2 linked regions of the Lonchura striata genome follow. The protein of the gene in region 2 interacts with the protein of the main gene of each other region in a pairwise test. Links are inferred from orthologs where the notes say so. Each region holds a gene or a part of one and is shown on either strand. Other genes may lie near its edges.

Evidence for each region.
Region 1: the proteins of BEND7 (region 2) and SMARCA2 interact in binary tests that used the Homo sapiens proteins (3 or more experiments, as listed by UniProt). The two-hybrid records come from large-scale screens. The link is inferred for Lonchura striata from reciprocal best matches to the Homo sapiens genes BEND7 and SMARCA2.

Annotation. Positions count from the first base shown.
Region 1 is NC_134642.1:16,215,505-16,223,290, reverse strand, and holds the start of SMARCA2 (SWI/SNF-related matrix-associated actin-dependent regulator of chromatin subfamily A member 2), read right to left. Parts: upstream 3,007-7,786; 5' UTR 2,836-3,006; intron 1,840-2,835; exon of another isoform or gene 1,777-1,839; intron 1,473-1,776; exon of another isoform or gene 1,375-1,472; intron 1-1,374. UniProt on the Homo sapiens protein: ATPase involved in transcriptional activation and repression of select genes by chromatin remodeling (alteration of DNA-nucleosome topology).
Region 2 is NC_134607.1:66,508,962-66,516,366, reverse strand, and holds the start of BEND7 (BEN domain-containing protein 7), read right to left. Parts: upstream 3,015-7,405; 5' UTR 2,771-3,014; coding exon 2,710-2,770; intron 1-2,709.

The DNA.
Region 1 (7,786 bases), on a different chromosome or scaffold from region 2:
TTTGAACACGCTCTTTTGGCACATGTTCCATCCAACACCACAGAAATACCAGTCTTAAAGAGAAATAATGTTTATAATATTTTTACTCTCACCTCTGGCAAGTCCACATATGCTGTATGATCCACACTAAATTTTAAAAGCCCACTATCCATACAGTATTTTTTCTTTCTATCACTGATATATATATATGTATATGTATAGAGAGAGAAAGACATAAAAACCTGCCTCGAGGCAAACCCATCCTTCTGACACACTACTTTTTTTCCTTAGAATCACAAAAGAACAAAAGAAACAAAGTCAGAGACAGTAATAGGGCAATTAGGTTCCCAAAGAGAAAGTGTGCCCGTATTTGCACAACAATAGTAACTTGCACATAGGAGACTACCCCACCCCGAACACGCAACTGGTACACTAGCAAAGGAATTAAATTCTGGTACAGAATTGTGTACCGTTTGGGTCTTAGGGTCTGTGGTTAAAACCACTTAACATTTCAGAAAGTTAAAAGAAAACCAGCGAAAATGCAAACGGAACAATGCAGTGTCACAGACCCCAGATCAATTCTACAATGAAAGCATGCAGAACACAGCGGAAGAAAACCCGACCAAACAAAAAAGAAAAATCCAGCAACTTTTAATCTTCAATTCTTCAGCTGGTTATTTACTTGCATATTCATATTCACATTAATATTCATAAAAATATATCCTAAAAAGAACAGCGTTAACCTAGCATTCGATAACTCCGAATATCAAACATATTAATCAGGTATCAAGAAAAAACAAATTCGGTACAATGTATGTAATCTGCTGACACTTTTACACTCCCTTTGCTTGACCATAACGCACGCTCAGGTTAAAAACCAAAACAAAAAACAATCCAAGCCAATCGTTAAACTGTAACTTCAGATCGAGTTTAGAAGAGCTGTAACTTTTCCAGCCGTGCGCAGTTCGTAGTTCCACCATTATAAATTTAAGAGGGGAGGAGACAAGGCAAGAAACTCCATTTCTGCACCGTGCACGCAAGGAAGAGCCGCGGCGGAGCACCCGCGACCCGGGAGCGGCGGGGGGCAAGGGCGGGCGCTCGCCGCCTCGGCGGCAGCCCCGCCGCTCTGCCCCGGCGCTCGGGCCCTGCGGGCGGGCGGCGCGCAGGCCTCGGCGCCGGCCGCCCGCCGCCTCCCCCGCCAAGGCGCCGCGGCGGGCGCGCACAACCGGCAGGGCCCCGTTTTCCCCCCTCCAGCCCTTCTGGAAAGTTTTCTCCCCGGCCCACAAGCTGTAAAGCGTCCCTGCCTGGAAATGCGGCCCCGCTGCTGCCTGTCCCCGCCCCTCCATGGAGCAGCGGGTGCGCTGCTGGCGGCGCTGCCCGCGCACGGCCCCGTACCTCGGCCGCAGGCGGGCGGGCGGGCGGGCGAGCAGCCGGGTCATGCCTCAGGGCTGGGCCGGGCCCGTCTCCCCGCCTCTCCTTCCCTCCGCCACCATGTCACGCCGACCAAACATGTCTGTGCGCCTGTGTGTGGCGGCGGTGACTTCCTGATCCGCCGCCGCTGGTACAGGCGGAGGGACGGGAAAGGCCACCCGCCCTCCTATCCTCCCCCCGCCGCCGCCTCCCGCCCCTGCCCCGCTGCGGCCCGCGGACGGGCTCCGCTGCCCCCGGCCCCGCCCGGCAGCTGGCTGCAGCAGCGCTCTGCCGCCCACCCCCGCCTCCGGCTGGGCACAGAACTTTTCCAGGTGCCAAACACCGCTGTCCCCTCTCACGACACGGGGGCCGGCGACCCGCAGCTACCTGAGCATCCGCGCGCGTTTGCATCCTGGCTCCCGCCCGGCCGGGTTAAAAAAAATAAATTTCCGCGCACACCGGAAATAAAACGCTTTTTTGCTTGGCAGGCGATTCCAAAATTGTAAGCGCATGTTTTGTGCTACTCTGCTTGGAGGTGGGGAGGAGGAGGGGGGTGAATTTCTGCAGGGAAAACGGGAGGGGTACGACGACATGCAAGCTATTTTGGGAAGTAAACCGCGACACCTTTCCAGCAGGAGTGACTGCACAGTTAAAAACAAGAGACCGAAAAGCAACAGGAGCCGCAGCCCTGTTGGGCTAAAGTCCAAGCCCCCGCTTCTTCCCCCTCCCCGGTGTGTGCGATGTTTGTGACAGGCACGCAGCGACGATCCGGATCATGGCCTCCCTGGCTCTGCCGGGGAATGCCGCTACTCTCCTCGCAGGCGAGACCGCTCCCCCCTGCACCATGTTCCTCCCCCCCCATGCCTCCCCACTTCCCCTTGCTCGGCTGGGTCTGAGCCAGCGTGTGCCACGGCGGAGGAACAGCCCCAGCGCACCGCGCTCTGCTGCCTCCGGACGCCCTGAACTTCACCCCGCGACCCCCGGCAGCTGCAGCGGAGCCGCCCCCGGCCCGTCCGTGCGGGCCGTCGCTCCCCAAGGATCTATTTGTGGCCGCTTCGCCCGCAGCCCGTGACACGCTCGCTGGGCGGCAGGACCGAGAGTGCCGCTGACTCACGAGTCAGCCACCGGCGACTCCGTGGGGGTTCTGTCGCTCCCGCTCCGGAGATCCGCATCGTGATTATTCCAGAATAATACCGGATCAAAACTTTCTTCTCCCCACCCACTGGGGGATATAAATATTCGGGAGGGCCCGGCACGGGGGAAGGTGGGGAGAGGAAGCAGGTGGCACGGCGGCGGCTGGGACCGGCGGTGCCGTGCGCAGGGAAGGGCAGCGATGGGGAGAGGGAAGGTGGGCACGGAGCGAGCCGGCACAGCCGGCGACAATAAAGGACCGTGCCCGGGCACGGGGAGCTGACGGGGTTGGACCGAGTCGCAAGTTGTATTTACCTTCCGCCCGGGCGGAGCGCCGTGCTGACTGTCGCTCCTCTCCCCCCTCAGTGAGTCACCCGAGTCCAGAACCGGAGCGAGGGACTAGATCACGAACATGACTTCATTGATGACAGCCATTCCCTCCTCTTCCTAAACTCCTGCCCCTCCTCCGGCCCCCCCTTCGCCTTCGCCACTGCTCAGACAGCGGTGTTGCCATTGGTCCGCCAGGCAGGGAGTGCCCGCCCCCTTGCGTAGAAGGGGCGGCTCTATTGGCCCGGGGAGCCGTCGCTCACGCGGGAGGCCGGGGGGGCGGAGGTGTGCAGGCGCGCGCGGGGCGGGGTGCGCCGCGCTCCGCGGCGCCGTGCGCAGGGCGAGCGCGGCGCTGCGCGCGGGCCGCACGGCCGCGGCAGCCCGCGCTCCCCGCGGCGGCGCCGCCGCGCCCCTCCCGGCCCGCCTCCGCGGCGCGGGGAGAGGGGCAGGACCTCTTTGCCTACGAGGGCGGCACTCGCGGCAGTAGTTTGGGGAAGAGGTGAAGAAGGTGCTGGAAGTGCGCTGTGCCTCTGCCCCGCTGGAGGGGCGGGGAGGAGCCAGCCTGACGGGCGTGGGATCAGCTGTGTCTGGCTGTTGGGTGTCTGTGTGTGTGCGTGTGCGTGTGCGTGCCCAGGGCGGGTGTCTCTCTCCCCTTAACATAAAAACACGTGTGTGGGGAAAGCTTAGAGCCCATCCCCTCTCTCCGTAGCAGAGGTTCTGTCGTGGACGACGGCGGGCTGCCGAGAGCGTTGCAGCGGACCCGGCCTGCCGGCAGGCTGCGGCTGTCCGCGGCCGCTCGCGGGGCAGGGCCGGGCGGCTGCGGAGGCACCGGCGGCGAGAGCGAACCCGGGGGAAGAGCCGCGGAGCAGCTCTTGTTTCTGCGCGATTGGGAGGGGAAATAGTGCATTGTGTTGCTTGCTTCCGTTTGAGTAGGTTTTTTAAAGTTGGTTTGGAAGGACACTTTCCAGTTCTGTATCCTAGTGCTGCATATTTTTTGGTTTTTTGGGTGTTTTTTTTTGGTTTGTTTTGTTTTTGGGGTTTTCTTTCTTTGGTTGTTTTTTTTCCTGTTTTGTTTTTTTTTTTTTTTTTGTTTTTTTTGGTTTTTGTTTTTTTTTTTTTGGTTTTTGTTTTTTTTTAATGCTTCAGGTGGTTTACGTGGTTTGCAGCAGGGGCTGCAGAGCTCCCATGTTTTTTGTACAAGCTGTACCTGTTCATGTAACAGGCAACTAAGTACTTCATTAAAATAATGGGCCTACCTGTCTGAGGTTTTTTTTTTTTCTTGAACACGGGTTGTAGAGGTAAAAAAAAAAAAAAAATGCAGCCAGATTACTGTACGTGGTGTTAGAGGTAGTTACATTTTTTTAAGATTATGTCACATGGGCAGTATTTGCCATTCTGCAAGTAAAATTTCACTTCGTATGGAGTAAGAATGTTCATAGGAATCTAAGTAAAATCAGTAGCTACTACAGACGCTCAGGTGACCGAGTTTAAGTGAAGTTCCTGAGCTGTGGTCAGGTGGAGTAGTTAAAGACCTGAAATAGTGCTGGGAGCACCAAATGCATCTTATGGTCTTAAAGTGACAGATATTGTTTACACGGTGTTTAGCGTGGAGCTCTTTTTATTCAAATCACCAATTTGCAATGCTGGCAATACAATACGAATTACTACTGTTCCTGTAGTTTTCCAGTTTAATCGTCTTCATTTTATTTTTTTTTATGTAAATGGTCAAAATGCTGAAAATAGGTGTGTAAGAATCAGTGCTAACTGGATAATGCAAAGTATCAATAAATTAAAAAGTTTAAAAGGCTGTATTTTCAGTTCACCATTGTCATTGCAAAATATTTACTTGGGAACAAAATCAAAGAAGTTGAATCATTCAAATCTTAATATACAAAATAACTTATGTCATTATGTAAATCTTTTGATTGACTTGTAATTTAAAACTTTGTTTTTAGCTTTGTCTTAAGCTGCAAACTGGCGTCTAAGAGATAAAAGAATGTATTTAACATTCTTGGAACATTATGCTAATGAAAATGAAAGGGGTAAAGAGATGCTTTCTCATTATAATTTTTTTTCTTAATACTGAAACTCTCATTAGGCAGTCATTTACGCTTGTCGTTTGTTTTTCTTCCTCCATTCCCTAGTGTAAATCTGAGGACTGTTTGCCTTTTCTCTCTGCCAAAGAGACAACAAACATTAAATAATGGAGGGGAAGCTTTCTTTCAAAACAGCTCGACTGTTTGCTGGATTCAGCAACACTCAAAACATTCTAAACCAGGTCAGGCCATTCTTTTTGTTAGAAAGTATACAGAGAAGAAAAATAAATAAAAAGTTAATCTTTTAGGCAAAAGAAGAAAGGTTCTCTTGACTCTGGAATAGATACAGCTATATTTAGTTAATGATTATGTTTATTTTGGGAAGGTTGCAGCAGCCAATTCCATTTTGAGAGCATGAACATGCCTGTTGCTGGTGTCAGTCTGAATGCTTTTTCTTTTTGTGTTTTGATGAAGTACCATTGAATCTCATTGTAATCTGTCTGGAGTGGGTGGGAAACATGAGAGTTTTTTGTCAAGTGAGGCATGTTCACCTGATACAAAAATCCTAATTGGAAGGGTCAGTAAGGCTTCCCTATATGAGCCTTAAGTAGCTGAAGCTTTGTTTATAATGAATATGTTGATGATGAATAGTCACATGCTATAGGATAAATTTGTTTTCCCCCATTAATTTATCTAATATAACAAAAGGAAGAAAAGATGAGGGTCTTTAACTTGAATTAAATGGATATGGCCATTAATGGTAAAATAGCATGTAAAATTTTCAGACTAGATGAGGTACCACTACAAAAAGAGATATTTCTTTGAGTAGCTAGATATGTTGCTGTGGAACTAAAGCTTTTTTATTTGAAGAATTATACCAACACAGTAAGGCTGTTGAGAAACTGATGTATCGGTGGTACTCTTGAAGGGACACTTCAACCAAAAAGAGGTCATTACCACCAGGGAGTTGCAATTGTTTACAGCAACCTCACCATTACCACCTTGAAACCCCTGCTGTAACAGTTAGGGCTGCTATTTCTGTGTTTGCTATCACTTGTCTGCCAGAGACAATTGCACTCACTGCAACAGAAATAGCAGAAAAAATTATATTTTAGTATTTCAGCCGGTTCTTAGCAGAATCCAGCTGCTTTAGCCTAGGTGGCTGTGAAAAATGGCTTAAGCTAGAACATTCCAAGAAGACAGCTTTATGCTCAGGCTTCTGCTTCAAAATGTTCTTCAGTGTGTCCAGGGAAATCATAAAGAAGTGAACTTGGCCATCCACAAGTTCATGGGCTCTGCTGGGTTCCTTCATACTTATGAATGCTGAAAGAACGAGTAGACATGATTGCTCTCAGATCTTTGAAAGGTCATGGCAGTCAGGAGAGGTGTCACAATACTAGAGGACAGCAAGTACCACCCTAGTCTTCAAAGGCGGCAAGAAGGAGATTCTGGGATCTACAGGCCGATCGGTCTCATCTTAATCCTGGAAAAGGTAATGAAACGTTTCATCCTGGAGGCCACCTCCACATACATGGTGGACACAAAGATGATGAAGAGTAGTCAGTGTGCTTAACTAACCTGATTGCCCTCTATGCTGAGACAATTACCTGGGTGGATGAGAGGGAAGAGCAGTAGATGTTTACCTGGACTTTGAGCAAGAGTTTTGACACTGTCCTCTGGTGTTACTCTCATAGGCAAGCTCAGGAGTATGGGCTGGATGAGTGGACAGTGAGGTGCCAGTTCTCACTGCAACCTCACTGTCCGACCCAAATTTCCTGAGCTTGAACTGCAGATCCCCGAGGGTTGTAATCAGTGGCACAGAATCTCATTGCTGGCCTGTCTCTAGTGGTGTCCTCAAGGGCTCAGTACTGGTCCAGTATTGTTTAACTTGTCAGTCATGGGTAGATGCCTCCTCAGCAAGTTCACTGACAACACAAAGCTGGAAGGGAGCGGCCAGTACCCAGGAGAGCTGTGCAACCCTTTAGAAAGACTTCAGCAGATTGAAGAGGTGGGCAGAGAGGAACTGTCTGAAATTCAACATGTCCAGTTCTGGGCTCCTCAGGGCAAGAGAGGCATGTAGCTCCTGAAGCATGTTCAGCTGAGGGCAGCATAGGTGGGGTCTGGAGCATTCCAGCTGGGACAGGGCCTATTCAGTCTGGAGAAGAGAAGACTGAGAGAAGATCACATCAATATGTATAAATATATGATGGGTGGCTCTCATGAGGATGGAGTCAAGTTCTTAGTAATGCTGAGTAATGGGCAGAAGCTGGAAGATAGAAACATTCACCTGAACATGAGACATGAGGAAGAAATTCTCTACTAATTGAGCACTGGAGCAGGTTGCCCAGAGTAGTTGTGGAGTCTCCTTCCCTAGAGTACTTAAAAGCAATGTAGACAAAATTCTGACTACCATGCGCTAGGGCATCCTGCTTGAGCGAGGAAGCTGATGACCGCCAATGAGCTTTTCCTCACCTACTTGTTAAAGGGGAACAATACTTGCCCTGAAGTAGGTGAATCCTGGTGGGAAGGTTACTCCTTACACATCTGTTGTTGTGCCACTTGTGTCACTTGACATGAGTATAGAATAGTCATACAATACATTGAATGTAGAGTGTATCTGAGCCTGATATGATTGACAGCAAAGTCAATTGGAGCTGGTTCAAGCTTCTCCTTCTCTTGTGGAACAGTAAATTACTATTTAATTTAAAAGTAAACCTTACATTCAAATACAACTTTTATTAATGTGCTTGTACTCATACCCATTTCCCCTCAGCCTTTTTTTTTTTTTTTTTTTTTTTTCTGGAGACATGCTCATCTATCCGCATTCACAAGTTTAAAAGATAGAGCCTTTCAGCCTGTTTCAAAGCAGCTTCATTTGCTCTAAACTTTCAAGGTGTTTTTGT
Region 2 (7,405 bases):
ACCTCTGACCAAACAGGCACAGCACTGGAAAAGTCTCCTGGAAGTCACTTTTTTGTTACGTGCTGTTTATTTGTACAGCACGACTGTCAGAAAAGGCACAAGAGAAGGAACAACCCAGTATGTAAACTAAAATCAAGCCTAACCCAGCAATTCTATAGAATGAGAAGGGCCTGGAAAGAAAATGAGGGGAAAACAACTACACCACAGAACTGGAGAGGTCAGCGATGAGGTGCTACACAAAGGATTCCTCTGCTTCCCGAGCACGCCCAGCCAATGAAATGGGTAAAGGTGAAGTTTGAGATATGACATCGAGGAAGTAAAAGCTTCTTTTATGAGACTAAACTGGCAGGATTTATGCTCCCTTCCATGATCACTAGCTGTCCTGTTGAGCAGAGGGTGTGATGAAGTGGCTTGGTGGGCACCTGATGGCCAGCCAGTCAGGGTCTACCTGCCACACTCTGCAACTCTGCACCTTCATCCTCTCAAGGACATTCCAGATCTGTGGAAGCAAGTATGTGGAAACTAGGACTTAAAGACTTACAGACTCATGGTCTTTAGATATACAGATTACACAGTTTCTTCTCCAGCACTTCCCTATATATCTAGCTGGTCACAATATTCCTCTGGTCTGCAGCTGCTGCCTTAAAGTCACCACATTTCACCCCAGAGGTGACTGCATTTTAGCACAGGAATTGATTTTCTTTTGATTTGATCATTATTGATCATTGTGATAAGGTGCTCAAAGTTATTTTTGGGACAGAATAAGCATGGTATGTATCGGCACACATCAATAGCAGAGTGTCTTACTAACCAACTCATACAGCATAGCCTTTTCTGTTTGCTTTCTTTTCTGTGTCTTGGATGTCACAGTCCAGGCACTGGGAAACTGTATCAATTTCACAACAGTAAACACTAAACTGTGACATTACAGAATAACTCCTGCAAGAGGCAAAGGCCAATTACAAGAGACAATTATTTATACATAATTATCTTTCTAGTCAACTGTGATAGAAAACAGTATGAGAGTGCAAACTCATATACAAAACCTGATTTTTATCTCCTCCATTCTCAAAGTAAAAAGACACTATTTTCTCTCTAGCATATGTTTTTAGTGTAGCTTTTTATTTTACTTTCTACATCCAAAAAGAGACCACACATAAAATATTATTAATAATGTACCATCATAACTGGATTTACCTATTAAAATAAGGTTAAATAGACTGCCTCATACACCGAGGCATATCTAAACCTGAACGAAATGGCAACTGAGATTGGCAAAACAGTCACCTATTTCTGGCAAATACTCTTTTTATAGGCCCATTAGGATAGAAAGAAAAAAAAGCAAAATTTCAGTTTTGTTTCACCACCTCCATGCTCCAGCGCAGTCATGCACTAACTCTGCCTCCAAGTTGGGAGCGTGTTCAGTACCAAAACCCCACAAACCAAACCTGTTCTCTGTAAAATTACACCCTTGATAAGTTTGCTTAATGGATACAGACCTCCAATGCATTTCAGACACGTCTGGCAAGTCCCTGCCCCTCTAGCTTTAACAGGGACCATGTGTGATGTCCCAGACCCCCCTACCACAATACAGCAGTCATTATTTACTATTCCCACCAAGTGAGTTTATTTCCATATTTGAATTTCTTCACTTCAAACGTAATTTTACAGAGCACTCCTCAGACAGCAAGTCTTGACACTCGTGTGTGTGTGTCCCCCTTTTCACCAGTGTGACATTAAACCCAAGCAGTCACCTGCCTTGAACTTGGCATGCAGGACACACACAGCGTTTCATGGAGATATTCCCGTCCAATACTTGGGAACACAAAAGGAAAAACGATCTCGAATCAAATCCATCAGGACAAAAACATCTCATCGGCCGGAGAAGGGATAAATCCCCAAGCAAAATAAATCCCTAGGGCTGGGAAGTCCACCTGTGAAAATGCCTACCAGCGGCTGTATCTTTTCCCCCCTTTAATTAAAGAAAAAAACAAGAAGACTGAACACAGAGCTGTGCTTCTTGTCCGACATGAATTAAAATATTTCTCCCTTCACGATCCCTTTTAAAAGATCCTCTTTTCCAAAAGCAAACACACCCCGAGCGAACAAGTTACACGGCAGCGGCTCTCCCCTGCCCACGTACAATTAATTACCTGCGTGGATTTTTAATAAAGCGATCTCGATTCAGCTTTTCTTGAAATACACGGATGTACACAGCCGAGGAGAGGAAAAAAACCACCCCAAATACAATAAACCCACAAGAGTTGAATACCAAGAAGGTCTGTCGCTGCTCAAGTGTCATTATTTTTTGCTCTCTTCCCGTTTTTACCTTTTCTCCCCCCCGCCCAAGCAGGATTCACCACGAAACGCGATCCAACTTTATTTTGTGCAAGGTTCTCTGCTTGAAAAAAAATAACACGTCCACCTGAGGTGGTGGTGGTTTTGCAACAACACGTAACACATATGCAAAAATAATTAAAAAAAAAAAAAGAGGAAACGGGGGTGAAAGAAATAAAATTAAAAAAAAAAAAATAAATAGGCGTGCAATGGTTTCGGGGAGTTGAGGCAGAGGATTGCGGAGTTCAATAACAGAGCCGGGAGGGAGCGGCGGCCCGGGGGCGCCGGCGTTTCATAACGCCCCGCTCCCCCCGGGGCAAAAGTCGGGGCTGCCCCCGGCCAGCGAACAAAGCCCGGCCGCCCGCGCCTTACCTTCGTTGACCAGTTTAAAGCTTTGGGATTTCCTGCTCCTCTTCCTCTGGGCGAACTCCATGGTGTGGGCAGGAAGGAGCGGGGCGGACACAGGACCGAGCTCCGTCCCTCCGATCAGCAATACACGCGGGGGTTGGGAGAGACGGCGGCTCCGGCGGCGAATAAAGGGATCCGGGACAAGTTGGCTCCGGTCTCCCCCTCGCTCCCGCCCCGAACTTTGAGGAAAAGCGGGGTGCGGCGGGGGGAGCCCCGCGGGGGCGATGCCGCCGCCTTCCCCCCCGCCGGCTGCGCGGCCGCGGCCCGGCGGCGAAGGGCGGCCCGCAATGGCTTCGCCGCCGGCGCCGGGACCCCGGTGCCACCTGCTGGGGGAAGGAAGGCGGCGGTTCCGCCGGCCGGGAGCCGCCACCGCCACCCCGGGGCCGGCCCGCCGCCACTCGGCCCCGCCGCGGGTTGAGGGCGAGGGGCTGAGGGGCAGCGCCATTTTGTGTCCCCCGCCCGCCGCCCGCGCGCGGCTCCGGCGCTGCCCGCCCGGCGCTGCCCGCGGCTCCGCTCGGGGCCGAGCCGGGGCAGCTCCTCGCGCTCGGCGGGACCGGGACTGGAGCTGGCGTGCGGAAGTGGGTTAACCTGAGGAACTGATGGCAACACCTGTTTGTTGCCGTGTTTTACAGGGATCATCGCAGCGATGTGTCCGCTGGTGTCGTGGACCGAGGCCTGGAGAAGAGCGGCGAGCCGCCGGCTGGGATGAGCTCTGCCAAACCTGGATCCCTCAGCAGGAGGAAGAGAGGCTCGGCTCTCCAGAGCAGCGAGATTTAGGGCGTCTGGCAGCCCTCCCGACGGTCACCGTGAGGTCACTGCAGCCATACGGCTGGCCCAAACACAGCTGAAATTAGTGCTTTGATTTATTTACCACTTGATGCCTTCAGCCACACTTCCAGTTCGCTCACTGTGCGAAATTCACTGAGGGTGGAGTGATTTTTTTTTTTTTTTTTTTTTTTTTTTTTTACAGCCGAGAGTGCTTTTGCCTGTTGCCTGTAGAGAAAGAACTCAGGCGTTTACAGTTATGACTACTGATAACTGCAAACACAGCTCCGATCATCATATTGTGTTTTACATGTAGTCAGACTGTGTTGTGACAAGAAGACTATGTGATACTTGCATACGCCTACTTGAACAGATGCAAAATGCAGATCTTGCCTTGGTCTCTTCAGAGCACCCAGGAGAATCCCGTTAGCTCCAGTAATATTGACCGACCCTATCACTAGGTATAATGACATAAAATGAGCAGGAGGGAAGAAAATTGAATACTAGCAGTAGTGATTTGTATCCTAACTGTGTGCATGCACACAGTCAGACCTGAATTCTTCGGTGCAAGGTGCCATCCAGACACTACACAGAGGATATACCTAGTTCTGAAAAGAAAAATTGGGAAATAGCCTTAATGGTGAAGCAATATCAGAAAATATGCCTAATGGTAAAATTTATTATATGCTGGAAAATTAAATTCACTAGGGAGGTTATGGAAACCTCACAGATTGGGTAGGGGTGTAATTTTCTATTAAATTGCTAAGTGGAAAATCCCAGAGGCAATCAATATGCTACTTTTGGAATTTTCCTAAACTTCTCTGTAAGACTTTATGAAAGGAAACTGGGCTAGCGTACTATTTAAAATCCTGCATTACATATTTTTGGGAGGATGCTGAAGCAGCAAAGGTAGATGGATGTCATATACTGTTTGCTGGATTTTGTGGGTCCAATTAATCTCTGGTACAGTGCAATGAAGCTGGGTCTGAAATGCAGCAGCAGTGTGCTTAAAATTTTCATACAAAAACAGTATTTTCACTTTTTTTTTCTCCCCTCCCCAGACGGTCTGCTGATTCCTGTCTGCTAACTAACTTTATTTACAGGACTTATATGCTGAAACTGTTACGTTTGACGTTTGACTCTCATCCTTCCTGGGACAATAGAAGAATTTTTATAAAGCATAAGGCCCTCATTTACAGTTTAGCTCACATGATGAGCTTTATCCTGCATTTGCCAAAGGAATGTGCTACAAACATCTTTTCTGTTTTACTCTGTTACTCAATTTTGTGAAACATTTTGGGGTATAATTTATGAAAATGTGATGGCAGTGTTTTATAAGCTGCTCTCTTACTGGTTTTAGTTCTTCCTTCCCTGTGCTGATAATTTGCTTAAAGGGACACTCATGGTTTTAAATGACATTTCAGTCTGGGCAATGCAGTTTCTAGTAATGTTTTCCAAGAGTTGGCACATCCTCTTTTCCACTGATATTTCTCATTTTCCTTTATGTGAGTTAGATCTATCCTTTTCATGCAGAATAAAGCTGATCCTGCAAGCTGGCCTAATTGTGGTCGCTCAGATGAATAAATCTTGCAGCTTTCATTTCTGAAAGTATGAGCCAGTGTGGATACTGCAGCTCCAGTCTTGCCATCTCATCTGCATAAAAGTGAATTAGAAACTAGGACAAGGTGACTTTAGGTCAAAGTCTTGTAGTTATCCATACAACACGTAGGAGGATCCGGTAGCTGGAAGTAGCTTTGTCCTACACTGCTGGTGCTTCTCAGCAGGGACTTAGAAAAAATGACACAAACTCAAAGGCTCCCATGTACAGGGAGCTGTGAGTCTGTCACTGGGCATTTTGGGGTGGGCATCCTAAAATTGGACTGGGATCATCTGCTCGTTTGTCACAGGCCACCATTGCATTATTCCAGCTGGAGAAATGTAGAGATGAAAGTCCTCTTTATCCCATTAGAATGGCTGCCTTGTGTCACCCTAGATAGTCACTGGCTGCATTGCTGTGGCAGCCAAGTGACTTAGGATAAAGTGCACACTGGCTCTGGGGAGCAGACAGCTTTTAATTTCATCTTTTATTTCAGTTTCTGTCTCAATATCATGCTATTATTACATATTAAGAACCCATAGGTCTTTTTGGTGAAAATATGAAAAAACTGAGCATTTTGTATCTATTAATGAATAGATACAAAGTTTTCAAAGTGTTTCCTCAAACCATTAACCGAGTAATGTGTTTTTCAAAATGCCTTAAATTGGCCAGCTAAATAAGGGCTTTGTCTTGCAACATGTCCCAAGTCAGTATGATCATCCCTGATTATTTCTTAGTTAACATTTTATTATGCTTCAAGTTACTTTCAAAATATCCCCTCCCCATTCTAACTGATGGTAATTTTTCCAACAATTTTCTGGTGTGTAGAAATACTTTTTCATTTCAGACACGAGCTAACTGATTAAATATAATTAATCTAGTAATATTTCGGTGTTAACAGCAGCAGTCCTCTTCACACAGGATGTCCCAGACTTTTTGTTTCCAGGTGTGCCCAGTTCATGATAATATTTTATTATTCAGAAGTAGGATGGTATAGGACAAAGATGACTAAAGAGTCCTAGAGCTGAGGAGAATTAAATAAGTGCACTAAGCTGAACCACTTCAGATTTTCAGTTGGAAAAATTATAGTGGAGAAAGTCTCATAAACTCAGTGATTCGATCTGAGGCTTAAAGTCTAATGTCAAGGAATTCATGTGAGGCCATGTGAAGTGGGAAGAGGCTGCTGACTGTCATATTAATAGCACCATGATTACCACTCATCTTGGAGCCTGACGAGATTCCGTGTGGTATTAGAAGCAGGAGAAGGGTGAAGAGGTAAATTGGAGACCAGGAGCTGTGCAGGTGACAGGTTAATAGGTGAGCTATTTTGGTTAGTTATGTGTAATGAATGGCACTGAGGATTTTATAAACTGTAGTAGTGTTTCCAGTGGTGGTTTTGAGGTCATATGACATACGTAGGCAGTACTTAGCCCCCAAGCTGACAATAGGCCACATTGTGCTCTGCTGTCTCACTACAAACCTTCCCTTTCAGCAGGCTCTCAGGCTGGCATATCCAAGGACTGGGTCATTAGAGAGAAAGATGTCTGGATGTCCTGAAGAATTCTGAAGTCAGGAGTGCAGTTTAACTTCTTTTCTAATCCTCCTTAATTTTTTCGTGACCATTTGAGTCACAGTACTTGACATTTCATGTCTCTGTCCTTACTCTCTTTTTCTTTTGGAACACAGTTGTGAAATGCCTTCTTGTCCATCCTGCTGCTTGTTAATCTTTCTCATATAAATTTTAAAGAAAAAAATTACAGGACAGACCAATGTTTTCATCTGTTTGCTAGCTCAAGGAGACCAAAACATTCCAGAACTGTTTCAACAATAAGGAATATAACTGAATCTATGTACAAAGAGTTCTTTGTGTGTGCAGTCATAAACCTTCTGAATATTTCCATATCAGAATGCAAACCTTCTAATCATTTCCATATCAGAATGCAAACCCCCTTTTGACTATAAGGTTGACTATAAGGTTTTCCCCTGCTCTGTGAATTTATGTACAGCTTGGAGTAAGATTGCAAGAGGAAGGCCACTGCATTCTAAGAGTCAGTGCTTGATGGTCATCCACTCTGATCCAATACTTGTGGCATAATGGATATTAAGTCATCCCTAAGACAAACTAGTGTTTGGATTTGAATTCGGGGAATGGAGAGGAGACCAAAGTGTCTAAGTAACAGCTGTAGTTGAAGGATGATGAAGAAAAGGTCTCAACAATGCTCTTTTTTATGAAAGAGGATACGGAAGAATAAAAGAAATCTGTCCATATTCATGGATATCTTCTGCTTCTCTGCAACA